3 linked regions of the Arabidopsis thaliana genome follow. The protein of the gene in region 1 binds, or shares a complex with, the protein of each later gene. Each region holds a gene or a part of one and is shown in the gene's direction. Other genes may lie near its edges.

Region 1 (7,870 bases):
TCAACGGTCAAGATGATTTAGTGTCTCTTTGGTTTCTGTGATATATAATTTATTGAACCCTTTATAAATTTTGTTTTGAATTTTTTCTCTTAAGAAAATATTTCTGTGTAGGTGCTTTGGGAAAATATAGAATCAAACACTTATTTGTAATTTTTTTTTTTTTTTTTTAAATTTATTAGGTATATTTTGTTTTGCCCTATAAACATTTTCTTAACACTCAAAAGTAAACCAAGCTACATCTTCTTCCTCTTTTCATAAGAAAGTAACAGTAATAATGATAAAAATAAACAAGTCAAGTATTGTAAATATTACATATCTAAACTCATGTTGTCATCATGGGTCGGGGATCCGATACATCCATTGTGGGAGAACGAGCAAGCAACATCGTATATGTTGGGTGAGTACTCTCATAAGTATCGGACTGTTACAGGAACTTATAATGCTATTCTGCTTGGTATATTCTAATTCACTGTGGATCACAAAATTTCCATTGAGTAAGTTAATAAATAGCAAAGTTTGGTGTTTCGAACTCCAAAAGTATGCTATATTAGCATCAAAAGGGTCAATCGTTAGCGGTAAATAATCGAAAGGAGTTTCAATAAAAGTCGGGGAGATCTCAGATACTAATTGCCATTCTCCACTCTTTAGCCTCCATACACATAACTTAGCATCTAAACCTTCATCAGAGACTATGTTCATATACATGAGAAATCCTTGACTAGTTGTGCATGTTCTTATGAATTCGCGATGCTTTTCTAAATCAGGGAAATGAGTAACCCGACACTTATCAGAATTTGTTTCAAAAGCGTAAAAGTCGATGGATATAACAACTTCTGTATCCTCACTATTGCGAACGAGCCAATGAAGATTTTCGTTTAAGCTAATGGGATGGTAAAAATCACGATTGAACGAAAAAGAGAAAAGAAAATGGATAGTGTTGAGACTCGACAACCGTGTCTCGGACGAATATATCTGGACTGAAAACTTATTTTCGTTATTATGGATCTTTTTTGCCTTTCATCAAACATAACAACTTTGTAACTCAAAACGACGCCGTTTTTAGTTTGTGTTACTATTCCCAAGGGACAGAAAAAATTATGCTCGAGAGCACGACGATTGATTTCTAAGCATTGATGTGAAATTGGATTAGCTAGGTATAACGATTGATCCTGAGGATAGACTCGACATCGATCAAAATAAACCCCATATCGGTGTTGTAAGGAACAACTTTGGCTTCTCGGTATATGTTCATTTCGAATTTATCGGTCATAAAAGACGAGATGTAAGAGTACTGGTACGATTAAATCCCCAAGTGTTGCATCTATGATGAGCCACAAGTTCTATCTTGTAACGCCTACACATGAGCGACCATGAAGAAGAATGGTGCAGAGACATGAACATGACACGAAAATGTGGAGACTCGATAATAGATTTCCACTGCTTACAAACCAGTTTAGAAGTCGTGATCATTTTTAGTGGTAATTGTGCAAGTATAATTGTCCATAGATCATCTGTGAAGAAACATATTCTTATTCATATGTGTTATTGGGATTTACTAAGGTGTATTTAAATACTGAATTTCACATAAATTTATTTCTCAATAATATCTAGCTTTTGCTGATAAATCTACGTAACATAATGGTATGTAAAAAAAAAGTAGATTATAAATTTAATATATGTGTACATAATAAACAGTAAGAGATTTGATCAAATTATATCTTTTCATGCTATTTAGTATTGTAATTTTCTGAAATAATCAATTATCCTAAAACAAGTTCATAAATAAAAAGTTAATATCCTAAACAATATTTACGTTTAATATATTTTCTCTATTAATACTAGATTTGATGGAAATTTTATCTATTTTAGTTATTTTATATAAAAAGTTTTTTTGGTTTATAATAATGAAAAACGTGATTAATGATAAAATCATAATAAGAGCGAAGGGCCCATTATAACAGCATTTATTTGGGCCGTTGTTGGTCTCAGGTTCCCGCTCTTTTTTATCGATCGAGGCGCCAAAACACAAAGAATCGATTATATGTTGTCATCTTTCAGATTGTCAATTCAAAGAAGACGATCAGATCTAATTGACTCGAGAGAGAGAGAGAGAGACGTATGTTTGGGAGGCTGAGACCACCGCCGTCGCCGCCGGATTGTCTGGAGAGATATCCGGCGAAGATCATCAAAGACGATCCTCTCTCCGTCTACGGTATAATAAATACACACTCTTTCCATTTTCATGTGATTCTGATTGTCCAATAGAAATCTCTAGGTTTTGAAATCCTTGGTTTCTTTTGATGGCATTGTAGAGTCAACACTGTTGAAACTTAAGCAAGGGTCAACAAGACAGGACACTACTTCATCAGAAACAGAAGGTGAAGAGAATCTGTCATCAACATCATCGTCTCATGTCTTGTCTTCGGATACACAATTAGGAGACACTCATGATGCAATGGCTATAGACTCGTGTGAAAGCTCGAAACAGATAAAGAGCAAGAACCCATCAGTACTATCCATGTTTAGCAAGTACAAGAATCAAGCTCAAGCACGAAACATGAAGACAGAGACTCAGGAATGATTTGTAAACAAATGTATCCCAAGTTCATGTGTGTTGTACTTTGATTATGTACAATTTAACTACATTGTTAGTAAGGAGTCTATATAGATGCCTGTATCAAAACATCTCTCAATCATGTGTTTATTACTTTAGCCTAAACAAGCTTTATGATCTTTAACCAACGGTGTTGATAGTACTGGTCATGTAGGGGTTCATCCATAACTAAACGTCTAAACCTTATATTAAAATGGGTCTAACTGATCAATCAAAAACATTTGGGGTCAAAACAATATATTGGATAAATATAAGGGTTCATCAAAAAAAACTTAACATTTCTTCTTCACTGTAAAATGAAATAAAGCTTATCCATACTCAACTTCTTCACTCTCTCTTAAACCTTCAAAAACCCTGAAGAGTGACGAATGAATCATGCAGATTTGCCAAACCAAGCTCAATTTCACTTTCCCTAATCCCACAAACCCTAATTTCTGCAAACCCAAAGCTCTTCAATGGTCACCGCCTCGTCGCATATCCTTGCTGCCTTGTCGTGGATTCAGCTCCGATGAATTCCCAGTCGACGAAACCTTCCTCGAGAAATTCGGACCAAAGGACAAAGACACAGAAGATGAAGCTCGACGACGTAACTGGATCGAACGTGGTTGGGCTCCATGGGAAGAGATTCTCACACCAGAAGCTGATTTCGCTCGTAAATCTCTCAACGAAGGTGAAGAAGTTCCGCTTCAATCGCCGGAAGCGATCGAAGCGTTTAAGATGCTGAGACCATCGTATAGGAAGAAGAAGATTAAGGAGATGGGGATAACAGAAGACGAATGGTATGCAAAGCAATTTGAGATTAGAGGTGATAAACCACCTCCTTTAGAAACATCTTGGGCTGGTCCGATGGTTCTTAGGCAAATTCCGCCGCGTGATTGGCCTCCCAGAGGTTGGGAAGTTGATAGGAAGGAGCTGGAGTTTATTAGGGAAGCTCATAAGTTAATGGCTGAAAGAGTTTGGCTTGAGGATTTGGATAAGGATTTGAGAGTTGGTGAAGATGCTACTGTTGATAAGATGTGTTTGGAGAGGTTTAAGGTTTTCTTGAAACAATACAAGGAATGGGTTGAAGATAATAAAGATAGGTTGGAGGAAGAATCTTACAAGGTTCGTTTTTTTTTTTGAACAATGAGATATTGTTAGCTTAGTGGTGGCTAAGAGAAGGATTCTAATAAAGATGATGTTTTTATTTATACAGCTCGATCAGGATTTTTATCCGGGTAGGAGGAAAAGAGGGAAGGATTACGAAGATGGGATGGTAAATATTATTATGCTACTGGATTTGATTGTTTGATTAGTTTGCTAGATGATGAACTGTTTGTAAGTTAATTGCTTTATTTTTCTTTGTGCAGTATGAGCTTCCCTTTTACTATCCAGGGATGGTAAGAATTCTTATTCTAAGCCTTGTATATTGTAACTAATGATTGGTTTAAATGAGCAATATCGTAATGTCCATGCAGGTTTGTGAAGGCACAGTTACCACTTTACATCTGTATCAGGGAGCGTTTGTTGACATTGGAGGTGTTCATGAAGGGTATGTTTATGTCTCTTTACTTTGTAAAGATAGACTTACCGTGGTTCTTGTATTTAGGGTATATAACGTAATATAATGTTGTCTCTTGTTTCATATGCTTTTTTTGAAAGATGTAAGTTTATGTGTCTATTGGTTTGCAGATGGGTACCTATAAAAGGTAATGACTGGTTTTGGATCCGGCATTTCATAAAAGTTGGGATGCATGTTATCGTTGAAATCACGGTAATCTTAAGGCACATATTCTTCTTTCGCATTTATAAAAATCTGAATGGAAATTGCTTCATTCTCCTTTTTCTTTTGTTCTTTCAGGCAAAAAGAGATCCATACCGGTTTCGGTTTCCCTTGGAGTTGCGCTTCGTCCATCCTAACATAGATCACATGATGTATGTAATTCACACGTATTTAATTCTCTTTACATATCCAGTAAAAATTGGCATTTTGGTTCTGTCCTCAATGGTCTTGGTTATGGTATATGTGTTGACTGTTTTTACATTCCTGCTCCAGATTTAATAAATTTGACTTCCCACCAATATTCCATCGTGATGGGGATACTAATCCAGATGAGATACGGGTCAGTAGAATCCTTTCCTAGAATATCAATCCATTTCGTGTTCTCGTGAAGAGTCTCCCTCTTATCTAATACATTGTTTGTACAGCGAGATTGTGGAAGACCTCCTGAACCTAGAAAAGATCCAGGATCAAAGCCAGAGGAGGAAGGGCTGCTCTCTGATCACCCTTATGTCGACAAGGTATTTTCCTGAGCAAAAGGGTTGGTTATGTGATTTTTGCTTTGTTTACTCATTAGGTTTATTGGCTTTCTAAATTTTGTGAAACCGTCAACACATTTCTTTCCCGTTTGCAGTTGTGGCAGATACATGTAGCTGAGCAAATGATTTTGGGTGATTACGAAGCTAACCCTGCAAAATACGAAGGCAAAAAGCTATCAGAATTATCTGATGATGAAGACTTTGATGAACAAAAGGATATCGAGTATGGCGAAGCTTATTATAAGAAAACCAAATTGCCAAAAGTGATTCTGGTGAGAGTTTCTTCTGGTGTGTTCGTGAAACCATACTGTCTTAAGCTTTGTGATTAAATGTGTTCTATTTCTGGCAGAAAACCAGTGTCAAGGAACTTGACTTAGAGGCTGCATTGACCGAGCGCCAGGTTTAAATTCTCTTCCCTACTTGTCGTCACCAATTTCCTTTAACCCACTGCTACGGAAATATTCTCGTTTGTATTTGTTTATTTTTAATAGATTTCCACTTCACACTGTCTTGGTAACTCCGATTGTCGTCACAGTTCCATTTTAAGGCTTTGCACTTTGTAATTGACACATTGTTGTATGAATCTTTTATACTGATAGTGGTTAATAACTCAATACTCTCCTGTTGTCTTGTGCAGCACCACAATAAACTAATGATGGAAGCTAAAGCAAGAGGAGAAGGATACAAAATTGACAAGCTCAGACGAAATATAGAGATGGACGAGTATGATTTCTTACACTGGCGCCGATCTTTGGAGGAAAGAGAAGCATTGCTCAGAGATATCAGCTCGTAAGTAAAAAAAAGTTCACTTTGATGTTTTTCAAAGAAAGTGTTTAGATGAAGAAGATTTATTTTGCAGTCGGCAAGCACTTGGTTTACCATTGGAGGAACCAGGGAGGTACAAGCCAGGAAGCTTCTTTGGGAAAGACCAGTACGATCCAACAAGTGCATTATATCAGTATGACTACTGGGGAGAGCCAAAGAACTCAGAGATTAGCAAGCAAGAGAGAATGAAGGATGCACACAACAAATCCATTGTTGGGAAAGGCAATGTGTGGTATGACATGTCTTACGATGATGCGATTAAGCAGACAATAGAGAAAAGAAAAGAAGGGTCTACCTTGGCGAGTCAAGAAGAAGAAACAGAGTCAGAGGAAGAAGAAGAGGATGACGATGATTTTGACGATTTTGACTATAGCATTCTGAGTGATGAGAGCAGTATCGGTTACTCGGAACAGCAACCTCTTGTTAACGGTACTCAAGTCTTGACAGACTGATGTTTAAAAGGAAAGTAAAAATAAGAAATTGTCGAGGTTGATTTATTTGAATTTTTGTCTGTTAGGTTTGATCTATTTGATAGTTTTTTTTTTTCATTTCTTCTTATCCCGGAGATAGTAAAATCAGTTTCTTATTAACTTAGCCAGACGTTTGGGATCTTGTAGTACACCGTTGAACGTTAGGAACGTGACGTTTTTTGTTTTTTCTATCAATCGTCGTCAGAGAAGGTAGTCTTGACACCGCAAAATACGCCTAAATGTTTCTCTTGTTTCTTCTGTTTGGGCTCCAAAACATCAACTTCTATCAAAAGGCTTTCTCGTTCGTACCTGGAATATCAAAAACCCTTGTCATCTCTCCGTGTATACCAAAAACTTCACACCATGTGTGCTCTTTGATGACAAAACTCTTAAGGCAAACTCTTACCAAAGCTACTCTGCAAGGTTGTACCTAATTCACAAAAATAATAGCATTAAACTTGTACAATGACATCAAAACTCTAAAGCAATAAGTTAGAGAACCAAATCTCCATAACATGGAAAATCAGTTTACTTGGGTCGGAGAGGGTATGGAGCTATCTCAGCTACGGAGAAGATGAAAACAGAGACGGTTTATTAGCCTGGAAGAGTTCGTTGAGAGCAGCAAAAGAAGTTATAAATATAAACCTTGAAGAGGAAGAGAGCGAGAGAAAAGAGGTGCTCCGAGTTGTATATGCTCGTTAAGGGTTTTCGCTCTTCTTTGTGGGCCTTAAAAGGCTAATAAGCTTCGGCCCAATTTTATTATTCTGTTTAAATCGTCCGTTGACTTGTTTTATTTTATACAACCAAAAACAATCTTCATACATATTGTTTACGGTTTAAGGATGGTGTTTGCAACGTCTCAGTACTCCGCTTCTGATCAGTTAGGTCATTAACAATAGTAACGGAAGATTAAGTAATACTAAAAGATTCTAACAAACAATTTACAAAAGAAAAGTCTCCTTAAAATTCTTAACTAAATTATTATACAATTTATGTCCAATGTAGGTAGACTTGTATTGCTATTTAAAACTCTTAATTTATTTATGTTTTGATTAATTTGATTATATATAACGAAAAATAAATTCAAAAAGATTCTAAAAAACAATTTATAAAAGAAAAGTCCCCGGCTAAACACTATTCATTTGACCCTTAAAAACTCGATTATAGTATCATACAATGTCTTTGATTTTAGTCTTGTAGCGCTATTTCTTATCCGGAGATGGTAAAATCAGTTTCTCATTAACTTAACGATTTGGAATTTGGTACACACCGTTGATTTGAATGTTTTGAATCTGACGTCTTCTTCTTTTTTTGTCAAAAAATGGAACTGATGTTTAAGTTCCAAAAACACAGCTACACATAGTTAAACATTGGTCCATGTGGCATTTCTATTATGGCATAGATGATATATAGATGTCCCACGTATCATTAGATATCGCACTTTTACCGCAGGTAGACTGTAGTACATTCAAAGCTGTAGTACAACATTTATTCCTCACCCTCCTTTTTTGTTTTCTTTTGCTCCGACGTATCACGTTTATTGGGTCGTTTACTTTCTTATATTCCTTGTTTCCTCAAAACGTGAGTGCCGACAAAAGAAAAGAAAATATCAAAATCAAAATGTGATGAGTTCGACTGAAATATCTCTTCAAGTGAGTAACTA
Region 2 (8,028 bases), on another chromosome or scaffold:
TCTTGATCGTGGAGGTAAAAAAGTTAAAAACATCTTTAAAAGTTAAAACCTCTGTTTTGTCCATTTACTGTTGTTTTGTTTGAGTTCAAAGATTTAAACTTTAGTCTGCTATGTTATTAGCCAATAGGACTTTATGGGTTATGCTGCAAAAATACATTTTGAGCAGAAAGATATATTTTTTTTACAAAGAAAGATTAAAAGTTTAATCTCTCAAGTAATCTTTGCTCCATTATTGGATGTTTTTAGGTTGCTACTTTGCCTTAAAAGCGTGGCACGCGCAGCAAGCAGGCGCGGCTGCAGTTCTTGTGGCGGATAATGTAGACGAGCCATTGTTGACAATGGATTCACCAGAGGAGAGCAAAGATGCGGATGGTTTCATAGAGAAGCTAACAATCCCATCGGTGTTAATCGATAAATCATTTGGAGATGACTTAAGACAAGGGTTTCAGAAAGGGAAAAACATAGTTATAAAACTAGATTGGAGAGAGTCTGTGCCTCATCCTGATAAGAGAGTAGAATATGAGCTGTGGACTAATAGCAATGATGAGTGTGGTGCACGGTGTGATGAACAGATGGACTTTGTCAAGAACTTTAAAGGTCATGCTCAGATACTCGAAAAAGGCGGTTATACCGCGTTTACGCCGCATTATATTACTTGGTTTTGCCCTTTTCAGTTTATAAACAGTCCACATTGTAAGTCTCAGTGTATAAACCATGGGAGGTATTGTGCTCCTGACCCTGAGGATAATTTCAGAGAAGGGTATGAAGGGAAAGATGTTGTGCTTGAGAATCTGAGACAGCTTTGTGTGCATAGAGTTGCGAATGAGAGTAGCAGGCCTTGGGTTTGGTGGGATTATGTTACCGATTTTCATTCTCGATGTTCGATGAAGGAGAAGAAATACAGCATAGATTGTGCTGAGAGTGTCATCAAATCTCTGAGTAAGAATCTTTTTTCTTTTCCTTTTTAGATTTTAAAGAAAGAGAGTCTTCTTTGTTTAGGTTATGAATCTTTAAGACTTTTTTCAGATTTACCTATTGAGAAGATCAAGAAATGCATTGGTGATCCTGAGGCTGATACAGAGAACCAAGTTCTGAGAACTGAGCAAGTATCTCAGGTTAGTTTCTTAATCTATCTTTATTTAGAGTTTTGAAGAAACATTTCAGAGGTTTGGTTACTAACTGTAACTATTTCAAGATTGGCCGAGGAAACCGGGGAGATGTTACGATATTGCCAACATTAGTCATCAATAACGCTCAATATCGAGGTTTGGTACTTGATATTTTTTCAGTTTCACTCTCTCTTTATGAAGATGCTGAAGTTTCTGTTGTTATTGGTTGCAATTGTGAAGGGAGATTGGAGAGAACCGCGGTTTTAAAGGCGATATGCGCTGGTTTTAATGAAACATCGGAGCCTGCCATTTGCTTAAACACAGGTCTAGAGACAAATGAGTGCCTTGAAAACAATGGTGGTTGCTGGCAGGATACAAAAGCAAACATCACTGCTTGTCAAGTATGTCGTAAAACCGAGCTTACCACATCACATCTCACCACTATATTGAATATCAGTATCAATTTGTTTGGAATTGTTTTGAAAACTAGAGAAAATGTGAAAATCTAGAGAGATATTTTCTAGTCCTATAATACTTGAATCTTTTTTGTTTGATCAGGACACATTCAGAGGAAGACTCTGCGAGTGTCCGGTTGTAAAAGGTGTTCAATATAAAGGAGACGGGTACACTTCATGTACACGTAAGTTGTTCACACATTTCACACAACATAGCTCTCAAATGTTGAGACCGGTTTCTTGAATAGTCTCTGGTTTGTGATTGAGCTTTGCAGCTTATGGGCCTGCGAGGTGTACTATGAACAATGGAGGTTGCTGGTCTGACACAAGGAACGGCTTAACTTTCTCTGCTTGCTCAGTTTAGTGATTCTCTTGTCATAAGCCAAACCCTCCCTTACAAAGTTCTTGTTTTCAGTTCAATCATCTCTTTGTTATTTATGAAAAATTAGGACTCTGTATCTACTGGCTGCAAATGTCCTGAAGGTTTCCAAGGCGACGGTTTGACGTGTGAAGGTACATAACTCTTAACTTATCGATTAAAATCTCGAAAGAAACCACATAATCATATTACCAACAATGTAATTATGTTTTCTGATTTGGCTCTATTGCAGATATTAACGAATGTAAAGAGCGTTCGGTATGTCAATGTAGCGGTTGCAGATGCAAGAACTCATGGGGTGGATACAAATGCAGCTGTTCTGGTGACCGGCTTTACATAAACGATCAAGATACTTGTATAGGTAAAATTTTATCAATCAAGATTTAAGAGTACTCAAATTCCATAACAGTATCTAATTAATATACATTGATGATTGTTTGTTACAGAGAGATATGGATCCAAAACGGCATGGTGGCTCACATTCTTGATACTGGCTATCGTTGCAGTAGCCGGTTTAGCTGGTTATATATTCTACAAATACCGGTTCAGGGTACTACTACTCTTTCTGATTCCACAAAAGCATTTTTGTACTTAATAACGGTTTTAGGATTACCAAACTAACTTTTCTTTGGTGTTCCTATTAACAGTCTTACATGGACTCAGAGATTATGACGATCATGTCACAGTATATGCCACTTGAGAGCCAAAGAGCTCGTGAAGTTCCATCAGAAGCCGAGCCTTTTACACTCTAATAGTATATGACCAAAGTAACCAAAACTGTCATACACAAAGAAATGTTTGAGATCAATTAATGTACATATGAATTATACTGTAAAAATAAAAGAGTGAGATAGAGTTGTGTATATTTTCATGGCAAAAAAATAAATAATTTGGATGTAAAGAGACTTTTGAAGAAAATAAAACAAATATTGCTTTCATTGAGAGTTGAACTCAAGACCTCCCGCTTACTAAACGGGTGCTCTAACCAACTGAGCTATGAAAGCTTCTTGCAACATATTATTCCAAATAAATTATATCGTAAACTAAGAGTTAAAATCTTGAAAACAAAGGATAACGATCTTCGTCTCCCTCTGCTAAACCCATTTTCTTCTGTTGAGGAATGGCTTCTTCAGTCTCTCTTCAGTTCCTGACCAACACCTTTATCTCCAAACCTCAGGTTCTTAATCTTATCTCTCTGTATCACCTAATGTTTCTATGTCATGTGTGTGTGTGTGTGTCTGTCTTTGTCTGAATTTTCTGAGTACTCCTCATGTTTTTTCCGGTCGGACAAAGGGTTTCTGCAACGGAATTGTGTCAGCACCAAGACCCAGAAGCAATTTATTAAGAGACAGACAAAATGGTGTACGACCCATCAAAGTTGCGTCTATTGAGACACAACCTTTCCCTCTGTTTCAATCTCCTGCTTCCGAAGAATCTTCCTCGTCCGAGGTTAGGATTTTCAGTTTTGAGTGTTTTAGGGTTTATAGAGTTCTAAAAGGCAGTACCTTTGACAATTCTTTGCATTGCCCCTATCTGGGAGATTGATTTAGAGTACAAATGAGTTCTAAAGGTAGTACCTTTAGACAATTCTGTTCATTGCCCCCATATGTGATATTGATTTAGGGTACATATGAGTTCTTAAGGCAGTAACTTTAGACAATTCTGTGCATTGCCTCCATCTGTGAGATTGATATAGGGGACTTCTTAAGGCAGAAACTTTAGACAATCTTGTGCATTGCCCTCATCTGTGAGATTGATGTAGGGTACAAATGAGTTCTAACGGCAGTAACTTTAGACAATTCTGTGCATTTCCCTCATATGTGAGATTGATTTAGGGTTTTTGTCTTTTGTTTCTTCACTAGCTGGAGACAGCAGATCCGGATTTCTACAAAATTGGCTATGTTCGAAGTGTGAGAGCTTATGGAGTTGAGTTTAAAGAAGGTCCAGATGGTTTTGGTGTCTATGCTTCTAAGGATATCGAACCTCGCCGTCGAGCTAGAGTCAGTCTTCTTAGTTAAAAAGTTGACAACTTTTTGTTTTGTTCTTCTCTTTAGATTATTTTGTTTTCTTTTCTCTCTGCAGGTGATTATGGAGATTCCTCTTGAACTGATGATAACCATTAGACAGAAGCACCCTTGGATGTTTTTCCCTGATATTGTACCAATTGGTCATCCTATTTTCGATATCATTAACTCGACTGATCCTGAGGTAGTAACACATTTGTGCTATTTCGATATCATCAACTCGAAAGTTCTTATCTTTCTCAAAGTCCTTTCACATTTGTGCTTACAGATTGATTGGGATATCAGATTAGCGTGTCTTCTGTTATTCTCTTTTGATCGAGATGATCACTTCTGGCGGCTCTATGGCGATTTCCTGCCGGCTGCTGATGAGTGCAGCAGCTTGCTTTTAGCTACAGAGGTGGATTGAATTGATATGATTGCCATTTGAAACTGGTCACATTTACTTGTGTCTTTAAACTAATGCTTGATGATATCTAATTCTGTGTGTTTTTCTATAGGAAGACCTTGCGGAGCTTCAAGATCCTGATCTTGTTTCAACTATCAGACAACAACAGAAACGAATCCTAGATTTTTGGGAAAAGAATTGGGTAATGAGGCCTTATATATGTGTTTCCAGTATATCTTGACATTTGGTTATTGCTTTGTTTTTCATTGGCAAATTGTATTCCGTCTCAGCATTCAGGTGTTCCTCTCAAAATCAAAAGGCTTGCCGAGGATCCAGAAAGATTCATATGGGCGGTTAGTATGGCACAGACACGATGCATCAGTATGCAAACTAGGGTCGGTGCTTTGGTTCAGGAATTAAATATGATGATTCCTTATGCTGGTAAGGAAGAGCATGTTGTGTAGTTATTGATAAATTAAGATTTAGTATCAATGAACTTTTTGTTGAGGAACTAAATAAGAATCTCACGATTGATCATTCTCTGCAGACATGCTAAACCACTCATTTGAACCAAACTGTTTCCTACATTGGCGTCCTAAAGATCGCATGCTGGAGGTTATGTCAAATGCTGGTCAAGACATTAAGAAAGGCGAAGAGGTAAGAGACTCAAATGTTCCTAAGTGTCAGCCTCACTTCACTGCTTTATCTATCTTCTTATAATGCTTTTCACAGATGACGATTAATTACATGCCAGGCCAGAAAAACAACATGCTTATGGAAAGATACGGCTTCTCAACTCCTGTGGTAATGCTTTTTACGACAATCACATTCATCTTACACAAACTATGTTTCCTTTGCAAGTTTTCTCGTTTATTCAGTTTTTCTGGTCTGCTGCAGAATCCGTGGGATGCTATAAAGTTCTCTGGAGATTCTCGCATCCATTTAAATTCCTTTTTATCGGTCTTCAATATTTATGGTCTTCCTGAAGAATATTACCATGACAGTAAGTTCCTTTTCTTCTGTTTCCTCTCTATTCCTTGACAAAAGATGGAGAAATGAGCACCAATGTTACCTAAATCTGTGGCAGGCGAGTTATCGAGGGGCGATACTTTTGTTGATGGAGCAGTTATCGCTGCAGCAAGAACATTACCTACTTGGTCAGACATAGATCTTCCTCCAATACCGAGTGCGGAAAGAAAAGCAGTTAAAGAATTGCAAGATGAATGTCGAAAGATGCTTGCGGAATATCCCACAACAGCAGAGCAAGACCAGAAGTTGCTAGGTATTACACTAAAGATATATACACCAATGTGTTATTATCTATTATCGCTCATATACTAAAACTTAAGCTTTCCCTCTTGTTGTTGTGACAGATTCAATGTCAGAAGCAAGGACAACATTTGCAACAGCGGTTAAGTATAGAATGCACAGAAAGATGTTCATCGGAAAAATTATCAAGGCACTTGACATCTATCAAGAACGGTTACTCTATTGATTCAAGCAAAAAATAATTATGAGCTGAGTGAGATTCATACTTGGTGCTCACTCCCTTGAGCTACTTAGAAACTGCACCATGTAATTGAAAGGTTCCTGTTTTTTTTTTTGTTTAGTGTAAGGTTATGTATTTGTATGGAACAGTTAGACTAAGTGTGTTAGTTTGTTTTAATCGCAATCACAAACAAATCATAACCTCTTCTTTTCTTGGCTGCTTTAATGAGTTTGATTAGCCAACAAACGCTTTGGAATCATCTGTGTTTTTTTTTTCTCTTTTGATTAATTCATGTTCATGTTTTTAGTCCCTAAGCATGATTAGTGTCTCAAATGTTTTAGGGTAATTGTGTCTCTTACGCCGAACTATAATGTTGATTAGTCTCAATAATTGATTATTACTTATACTATTTATTAACCTTGTGGTTACACTAATCAATCAAATCATATTGCGTTTCTTCTACTCTTTGTCTAACATTACTATTTTCAAAAAAAGTTACGGTCCAAACCAAACAAACCTACTCTGAGTTATACAGAACCATAAGCAATCTATTTCTTACCTTTGGCTACTTATTTGATACTTTACATTGACTAACTTGATTCTTAATAATTATCTTCAATATGTTGAATATTTTATTTTTGAAGTAAGACCACTATGCGTTTCATAATTCTTGCCATGCATAATGAAATTATTCCTTTGAATTTAAGATTAATTAAAGTATAAATCAACCAAACAATAGACAAAAAAAAATAAAAAAAAATAAGCATCTTGATCTTTTTGGTGGATCGAAGATAATTCCTTTGTCTCATTCTTTTGGATTTAGAATCTCGTTCAGTAGAATATTAACATTTTTAATTATAGATTATCAATTATCGAACAAGTTGTTGTACGTAAACTTGATTCGATCTAGCGTTATTACAGTCAACCAAAATTTATATAATAATAACAATTTATGAAAATGACAATATTATTCGATGTATTATTCCTTTTTTCCTATAATTAGATAGGTGTGATTAAATTCAAGCTAGATTCCGAATCGACAACAACATATTATATCTATTATTAACCTCAATTTTTGAAGGCAAAAAACACACGAAATTATTCAAAACTCACGAGTTGATTCTTTACTTCGATGAACATATAAATTGGGAAAGTATCACCGAACTTATTTGGGTAATAAAGAAAAAGATGGATGAAAAAATTATGTTTGCAAATTTTAATAAGAATTATGTTTGACTTGGTAATAAAATATAGGGCATAATCATATGATGCCATGTTAATGTACGATCATACCACAACTGCTCTCCTTGTCGTGAAAAGGTTGAAGTGATGAGAAGCTAACACACTTTGTGACATAACCAAAGCCAAAAATATATACTTCAACCAAGTCATTTTCTCAACCACTCTTTTCTCCTTGTCCAAGGTCAAAGCCATGCATCACCATTTTATTTTCTATTATTCATTATTGTTACTTTTCCTTTATATAACTAATAAAAGGTCTATTACTAATAAACAACTAAACTTTTCTTTTCTTTTTGATAAAATTAAACAACTAAACTTGTCGAAAAGAAATAGGAGAACAAAGAACTCTAACTTCTCACGAAATTGATAAATCAAATGATTGCGTATCACAAAGACACTAAAAAGAAAAATTAAGGAATCGTGTAGAGTTGACACTCTATACATTCAGAGTAGTAATCATGTGTTTGATAGATAATAAATAGATAATGGAAGTATGAAATGAGAAAACTTGTTGGGATCATTTATCATTTGTGGAATCCTCTAAATCTTTTCTAACTTAACTCCAAGTCGTTAGAGTCCAAGAGATATGAATCGATCGGAACTTCAATACAGAATTTAATTAGAATATAGTGGAACAACATCCACGAATCTAAATGTCATAAGTTGTTAATTGATCAAACGAAATAGAATGTACTTATTATAAGCTTATAATTTTACAAGTTTGATGTGAATGTAAAGTGTACTACTCCACTATTTATTTATATATTCTGTGGTTTCTAAAGAAGACCAAATGTTTTTTTTTTTTTCTTTCCTAAGAAGACCAAATGTTATGTCAAAGTTTAGGCACTGTTTTAATTATATAACATGTCTCCACGGACGAATAAATGTACACACGAACATCATAGTACGACCGTTGACCTTTGCCCCTCCATTGATTGATAAAAG
Region 3 (5,995 bases), on another chromosome or scaffold:
ATGCCCCGAGAAGCGTCTAATTACGATGAGATCTCTATGCAACAGAGCATGCTCTTCTCTGATAGTCTCAAGGTAGATTCTAAAGTATCAAGTTGAATAATCTTAATGGATTTTGTGATCATTGCTAAAGCCTTAAATCTTCTGTTTACATGTTCTGCAAATAGTTTAGTAAACATCTTTGTTATACAGGATCTGAAGAATCTGAGAACACAGTTGTATTCAGCAGCTGAGTATTTCGAACTATCCTACACAAACGATGAACAAAAACAGATGTGAGTGAGTTTATTCCTCTCCCTAATTGTGATTGTTCTCTTTTCTTGGAGTTTTGTAAGTTTTTACTTGTGTATGTAGAGTCGTGGAGACACTGAAAGATTATGCAATAAAGGCTCTGGTGAATACAGTTGACCATTTGGGGTCTGTTACATATAAAGTAAATGACTTTGTAGATGAAAAAGTCGATGAAGTAGCAGGAACCGAACTGCGAGTATCTTGCATTGAACAGGTATCCATTATTCTTCAAATGGACAGATATTTCTGCTTTAGTTTTATTCAGTTGGCATTTTTGAGAATGATTCTTGTTTGTATTACTGAACTTTCTTATATGTGTATAGAGGCTACGGATGTGCCAAGAGTACATGGATCATGAAGGTCGTTCCCAGCAATCACTTGTGATCGACACTCCAAAGTTCCACAAGCGGTACTTCTTGCCTTGTAAGTTTCGACTCTCCAAAGTTCCCTATATGTTTCTACAAACTTTCGTTCTCTTATTTGTCGGTTTTGGGACTCAGCTAACAAAAACGAAATTCTCTATCAGCTGGTGAAATCAAAAGAGGTGGCAACCTCGCAAAGCTTAAGAATGTTGAAGGTAGTTTTGATGGAGAAGATGACTGGAACCAATTCAGAAATGGTATAAATTGCCATTTCATTTACTTAGAAATTGCCTTGATTCTTGATTTGATATGTTTCTTGTTGTGAATTCTTAAAGCTGTTCGCGCTACAATTCGTGAAACGCCTCCACCACCTGTTAGGTATAGTCCAGTACTCATAGTGAGTTCCCTTGTCAAATGACCGAGAAGTACTAAACTTTTATCGCTTTTTGCAGAAAACCGATACTTCAGTCTCCCTCTCAACGGAAACCTCAACGTTCAGCAACCTTTTCGTTCTCCTCTATCGCCACCGCACCAAAGAAAGAACAAGGTAAAAGACAGCTTCACCTTGAAATTGCCGTTTTTGGCTTAATATGTAAACAGAACCTTTAAACAGTGTGCATGGTAAAATAGATAAGCGAGCAGTATCACCACATCGGTTTCCGCTGCTAAGATCTGGTTCGGTTGCTATCCGACCGTCATCAATCAGCCGGCCAACAACCCCGAGCAAGAGTAGAGCGGTAACTCCAACTCCTAAACGGGTAAGCTTCGGTTACATTTCAAAAACACTCACTTCTAGGCTCTATCTCTAACGGTTGATTCTTGATATTTTCTGGCTCAGTATCCGTCAGAACCAAGAAGATCGGCTTCGGTTCGGGTTGCGTTCGAGAAAGAAGCTCAGAAAGAACCAGAGCATCAACAACAACCGAGCAAGAGCAAACGGCTGCTAAAGGCGCTACTTAGCCGACGCAAAACAAAGAAGGACGATACGCTCTACACTTATTTGGACGAATATTAAACCGAAAGCTGGTTTTGTATGTTGACTGGTAAACCGGAAATTACATTCCAGTTTTAATTGCATTTACGTAATGTCAAATTGTCAATATATGTGTTACAAAATATGTCCATGATTCTATGATTTTGTGTATACCTTATGACTGTCAGAGTGTGAATGCAGTTTTGTTTACAAGCGTAGTAAAACTTGCTGTGAATTATTTTACTGCCGATTTTAACCAAATTAACAGCAAGTTTATATATACAATTTCGTTCTCGAAATATTATTTGACAGTTTAATATATATTTTGCATCAATTACTGTTGCAAGAATAATTATGTTTTTGAAACTTTTGCTTTTATTTATCCAGTTTTTGAAATTGATTAAGAATGTTTGAGACTAATCCTCCCTTTTTTCTTTTTTTTTTTTTAAGCCGTGGTAATGTGGTATTCGTTCGGTAAATCTACCTATTCAAAAAGATAGTATCATCGACTTTTCTGTTGTATTAACTTACCATTTACAAATATTACATTAATTAATTTGAAACAAGTCAAATTTATTGTCACCAAGAATGAAGTACACGTATACAGATAAAAATAAAGAAGAAAAAAACAGAGACAACTTTTCCGGAGATTTTACTTTAGAAAGCAAAGAAAACTAAATCAAACCAAGCCTTCAAAAATTAGGTAGCTCTTATAAACCGGATCATAAAACCAAACATCAAAACATATGTATGCTCTTTCAAAACATGGTACCAACTCACGAGTCTTTTCATCAGGGCCGATTCTCACCATCACTCAATGGTCTAGACACCATCAGTTTGGGGTTCAACTTCTGATCTTTTGGGTGGTGGTGGAGGTGGTGATCTGTCGTAATGCTCAGCAACAAGTGAACGATGAGAAGAAGGAAGAAAAACCTGACGAGACTCCATCGATGGAAAATAAGATGATGGTACATTATCGTCAAGAAGTTTCCGGTTGGTTTGAGCATGCCCGATCATGATCATAGCTAAGAGAACACAACATATTAAGAGATGATTCCTAGAAGCCATTTTCTCATCCGGTGATCGATAGAGTTAATTTCTTTGCTTATCAACTATGTTGAGGTTCCATCTTGTAATGTCTTATGTATATACATAGCTCACAAAGTCACAATAGAGGGTTCCCACTAACTATTATTAGATTGATTGATTTCTGAAAAATATTATTTTTGTGTACCAAGTAAAATTATATGATTTTAGATTTGTTGTTAGTTTTGATTTGTTTTAGATTTTTTTTTTGTGCAAGTTGAATTATTATTGTATAGATAAAATGACGAGAAAAAAAAATGCCCGGTTCGGTTAGGAATGATTTGTCCAAATACGAACACAACCAAAGATAAACCATTAAACCGAACCGGAGAAGCTTACATATAAAATAGGATCCGGTTCTATCTATTCACTGTGTATCAATGGCTTCCTTCACCTGTTCTTCTCCATCTTCGATTTTACCTGTAAAAATCCCTCCTTTGCTTCTCTCATAATCATCCTTTGATGTCAATGTGATTTCTCATTTTCAATTATTGTATATTCAGATTATTGATACGAGAAGTGGGAATTTGCGATGCACATTTCAGTCTCAGGTTTTGAATGGTTGATATATATACGAATTTGTGGGTTTTTGGGGGAGAGTTTTGAGTGAATCTGGTTGATTTTTTCAGGTTTCTTGTGGGATTCAGAGAGATGATAATGGACGCCGTGTTTGGCGGAGGAGAACATTGGTAAGTACTAAACTTGATATTTTGGTGATTTTCCAGTTTCATGTTTATGACATAAGTCGAATCAGGAATCAAAATAAGGGTTTTTCTTTGCTTGGAGACGACATTTCTAAAAAGTTGCAATTTTTAGTAGGATCACAGATTAGCTTTAACTCACTGATGAGGCATGACTATTAACTCTAGTTAGTCTTTACTTAGTCATAGTAATTGATATGATGCATAGAAGGAGAGATGGAGATTGTCTTCTCTGAGTTTTTGCGATTTCTAGTTTACCCTTCTTGATTCCAAATTAGCTTACACACCTGTTTCAAAAGTGTCTTTGTTGAACTATGCTCATTTCAGACGCTAGCTTTAGTTCTTATACTGTTGATGAACTTAAAGAAACATGGCTTTTTACCTCTAGTTAGTGTTTACTTATATATATTCAAGTAACCATGGTCTTATCTCTATGGCACATGCAAGAAATTGGAGATTGTCTTATCTGAGATACTGGGATTTTTAGGTGGGAGTTACACATTACATAAAATATTAGTGTGATCTTTTTACTTGTACTATATTCTACAAACTATCAGTTTCTGTTGTTTGATCCTATCAGGTTCATGAGGTTTTGAGATTTCAATAATTACCAAAGCCAGAACAATGCAAAATCTTTGTTTATATTTGTCCCGCTTTTAATCTCTCTATGTCGTTCTCCTGTTTTGTCTGTAGACGAAGAAGGACGATATGTTGCGTTACAAAATGCAAAGAGTTCCATTTGTGGAAGAACAAGTAAGGAAGATAAGAGAAGTTGGGAAGGTAATGACAATGGACATAGAGCAGCTTCTTTTGAGGGAAGACAATCGGTTTGAATTTGTCAATAGCGTAGCAGCTGAAGCAACAGAGTACGTGGACAAGAACAGAGACGAATATGGAGGTTCCAAAAAAGCCATCTTTCATGTTCTAAGCAACCGTGTGAACGATCTCGGCTTTGATCGCCCTGAGGCTTATGTAGAAGCTGATCCTTACAAACCCGGTCCTGGCTATTTGTTGGAGTACTACACTTGATATATTATAACAAAAAGTGTCAATGTACTTTACAGCTTTTGTTCTTGTATTACCAAAACCAAATCAATGCATTCACAGCTTTGTTGTTTTCTTGGCCAAATTTCATTTTATTTATTTAGATTTACTAGATGAAGACGAAAGTCTAATGACAAGAGTTTAGTAAAAGTAACGGTCTAGTGATTTGTGGTGAAAGGAGGTCGTCGTGTCGGTGGAGGAGGAGGAGGAGGTACATATGGCATTGGTCGTTTTGGGATTGGTCTTGGAGACCAGTCCCCATAGTCTTCTTTGTTATAGACAGTTGGTTCCTTTGTCACAACCTCATCAACCTTTCAAAACCAAACTCATACACTATTAAAAAAGGAAGACACTTTTCGTAATACTTCATTTTTGCTATAGGGCACGTACTTGTGTTCCTGGAATTGTAGGGTCGGATGGCTTGGGAGGTCTTAGATGCGGCCCAGCGTAGTCCATCTCCAGATCGATTCTTCTTCCATTCATGACCATCTCTTTAACCTTTTTAAATCAACAAGTTTTATATCTTTTTGTTTTTAGTTTTGATGCATATTTGTAATCAAATATATAACGCTTTTAGAACCGTGATTGTTAATACCTTGCGGTTGATGTTGTCATGATGCAAAGTCTCAACGATCCCTAACAAAAATATGAAGCATATTTATTCAATTCGGAGTTCTATATTGACCTATATAAAATGTTAAAGCTACTATAAGTTTGCATATGTTAGTTGATCAGATCTATATACCTGAAGAAAACATTGGGAGAACGAGCAAGAAAGATACTAGTATCACTAGCTTCATCCTTAAGTCAGATTCTCTCATTTTTGTTTTGTTTTGGTGATATGTGAATTGATTTTTATAGTATAAGTTGAGATACACATATATACGAAGACAGAGATATATAGTAGTCAATCGTAATTATGAAGATAACGCATCACATTGACTAGATGAATCCGTAATCAACTAAAATATGGACAATCAATATAGTCAAAGCAAAAACGAATATGTGAATTCTCCATAATTAAGTTATACCATTATTGTTTCCTCTCTTGAGAGAATCCATATGTTTTAATTTAGGAAGGGGTATTCAATAGCTAAATCTAGAAAGATTAAAATAATAATAAAAAGTTATAGATTCTGTTTAAAAAAATTTTTAAGAAATTTTATTTTAGACAATATGAGATTTGTTTCTTCGTCTTTATTATTTAACTTTTGATTAAATTCCGTTCAAATGACATTTGGCATCTAGCCATTAATATTAAGTACTGAGACCAAATTAAAAAGAATTAATGTTAAATCTTGTAACTATTGAGACTAACATTTTAAAACGTTATCTTGTAACTTTTCTTTTTTCATCCGATTTTAATTAAAACTCAAAAAAGGCAAACATAACTACCTGATGAATGTTGTTATATAAGTGATATAAAACGGTTTGGTGCAATCTTTTCACGCCAAGTAAACATATTTTGTAACTATTGAGACCAAATTAAAAGGAATTTAAAACGCGTTTCCCTCTGTTTTATATTACTTATCCTTTTAGTT

Evidence for each region.
Region 2: PDE312 (region 1) and PTAC14 share a complex: the UniProt entries of both Arabidopsis thaliana proteins name them as parts of the transcriptionally active chromosome (TAC) complex.
Region 3: PDE312 (region 1) and PTAC7 share a complex: the UniProt entries of both Arabidopsis thaliana proteins name them as parts of the transcriptionally active chromosome (TAC) complex.

Annotation. Positions count from the first base shown.
Region 1 is NC_003074.8:17,959,220-17,967,089, forward strand, and holds PDE312 (Nucleic acid-binding, OB-fold-like protein), read left to right. Parts: upstream 1-2,943; 5' UTR 2,944-2,989; coding exon 2,990-3,718; intron 3,719-3,809; coding exon 3,810-3,869; intron 3,870-3,963; coding exon 3,964-3,993; intron 3,994-4,071; coding exon 4,072-4,145; intron 4,146-4,285; coding exon 4,286-4,528; intron 4,529-4,649; coding exon 4,650-4,716; intron 4,717-4,801; coding exon 4,802-4,894; intron 4,895-5,007; coding exon 5,008-5,184; intron 5,185-5,261; coding exon 5,262-5,312; intron 5,313-5,549; coding exon 5,550-5,701; intron 5,702-5,771; coding exon 5,772-6,189; 3' UTR 6,190-6,394; downstream 6,395-7,870. Other genes in the region: AT3G48490 (uncharacterized protein), read left to right, coding at 2,119-2,212, 2,313-2,581.
Region 2 is NC_003075.7:10,875,851-10,883,878, forward strand, and holds PTAC14 (plastid transcriptionally active 14), read left to right. Parts: upstream 1-2,966; 5' UTR 2,967-3,063; coding exon 3,064-3,120; intron 3,121-3,175; exon of another isoform or gene 3,176-3,236; coding exon 3,237-3,392; intron 3,393-3,805; coding exon 3,806-3,943; intron 3,944-3,990; exon of another isoform or gene 3,991-4,025; coding exon 4,026-4,151; intron 4,152-4,235; coding exon 4,236-4,364; intron 4,365-4,464; coding exon 4,465-4,554; intron 4,555-4,642; coding exon 4,643-4,793; intron 4,794-4,899; coding exon 4,900-5,009; intron 5,010-5,084; coding exon 5,085-5,156; intron 5,157-5,249; coding exon 5,250-5,355; intron 5,356-5,439; coding exon 5,440-5,634; intron 5,635-5,725; coding exon 5,726-5,847; 3' UTR 5,848-6,202; downstream 6,203-8,028. Other genes in the region: VSR7 (VACUOLAR SORTING RECEPTOR 7), read left to right, coding at 1-14, 247-921, 1,000-1,115, 1,196-1,265, 1,350-1,510, 1,668-1,749, 1,840-1,922, 2,014-2,077 and 3 more. UniProt on the Arabidopsis thaliana protein: Essential for chloroplast development, especially for thylakoid formation. Involved in plastid gene expression, probably by maintaining plastid-encoded RNA polymerase (PEP) activity.
Region 3 is NC_003076.8:8,274,661-8,280,655, forward strand, and holds PTAC7 (plastid transcriptionally active7), read left to right. Parts: upstream 1-3,039; 5' UTR 3,040-3,089; coding exon 3,090-3,131; intron 3,132-3,212; coding exon 3,213-3,260; intron 3,261-3,338; coding exon 3,339-3,422; intron 3,423-4,103; coding exon 4,104-4,439; 3' UTR 4,440-4,534; downstream 4,535-5,995. Other genes in the region: ABIL3 (ABL interactor-like protein 3), read left to right, coding at 1-72, 190-272, 352-502, 612-711, 815-907, 986-1,028, 1,103-1,197, 1,281-1,408 and 1 more; AT5G24313 (uncharacterized protein), read right to left, coding at 2,446-2,691; AT5G24316 (proline-rich family protein), read right to left, coding at 4,613-4,765, 4,845-4,952, 5,050-5,090, 5,200-5,275. UniProt on the Arabidopsis thaliana protein: Essential for chloroplast development, especially for thylakoid formation. Involved in plastid gene expression, probably by maintaining plastid-encoded RNA polymerase (PEP) activity.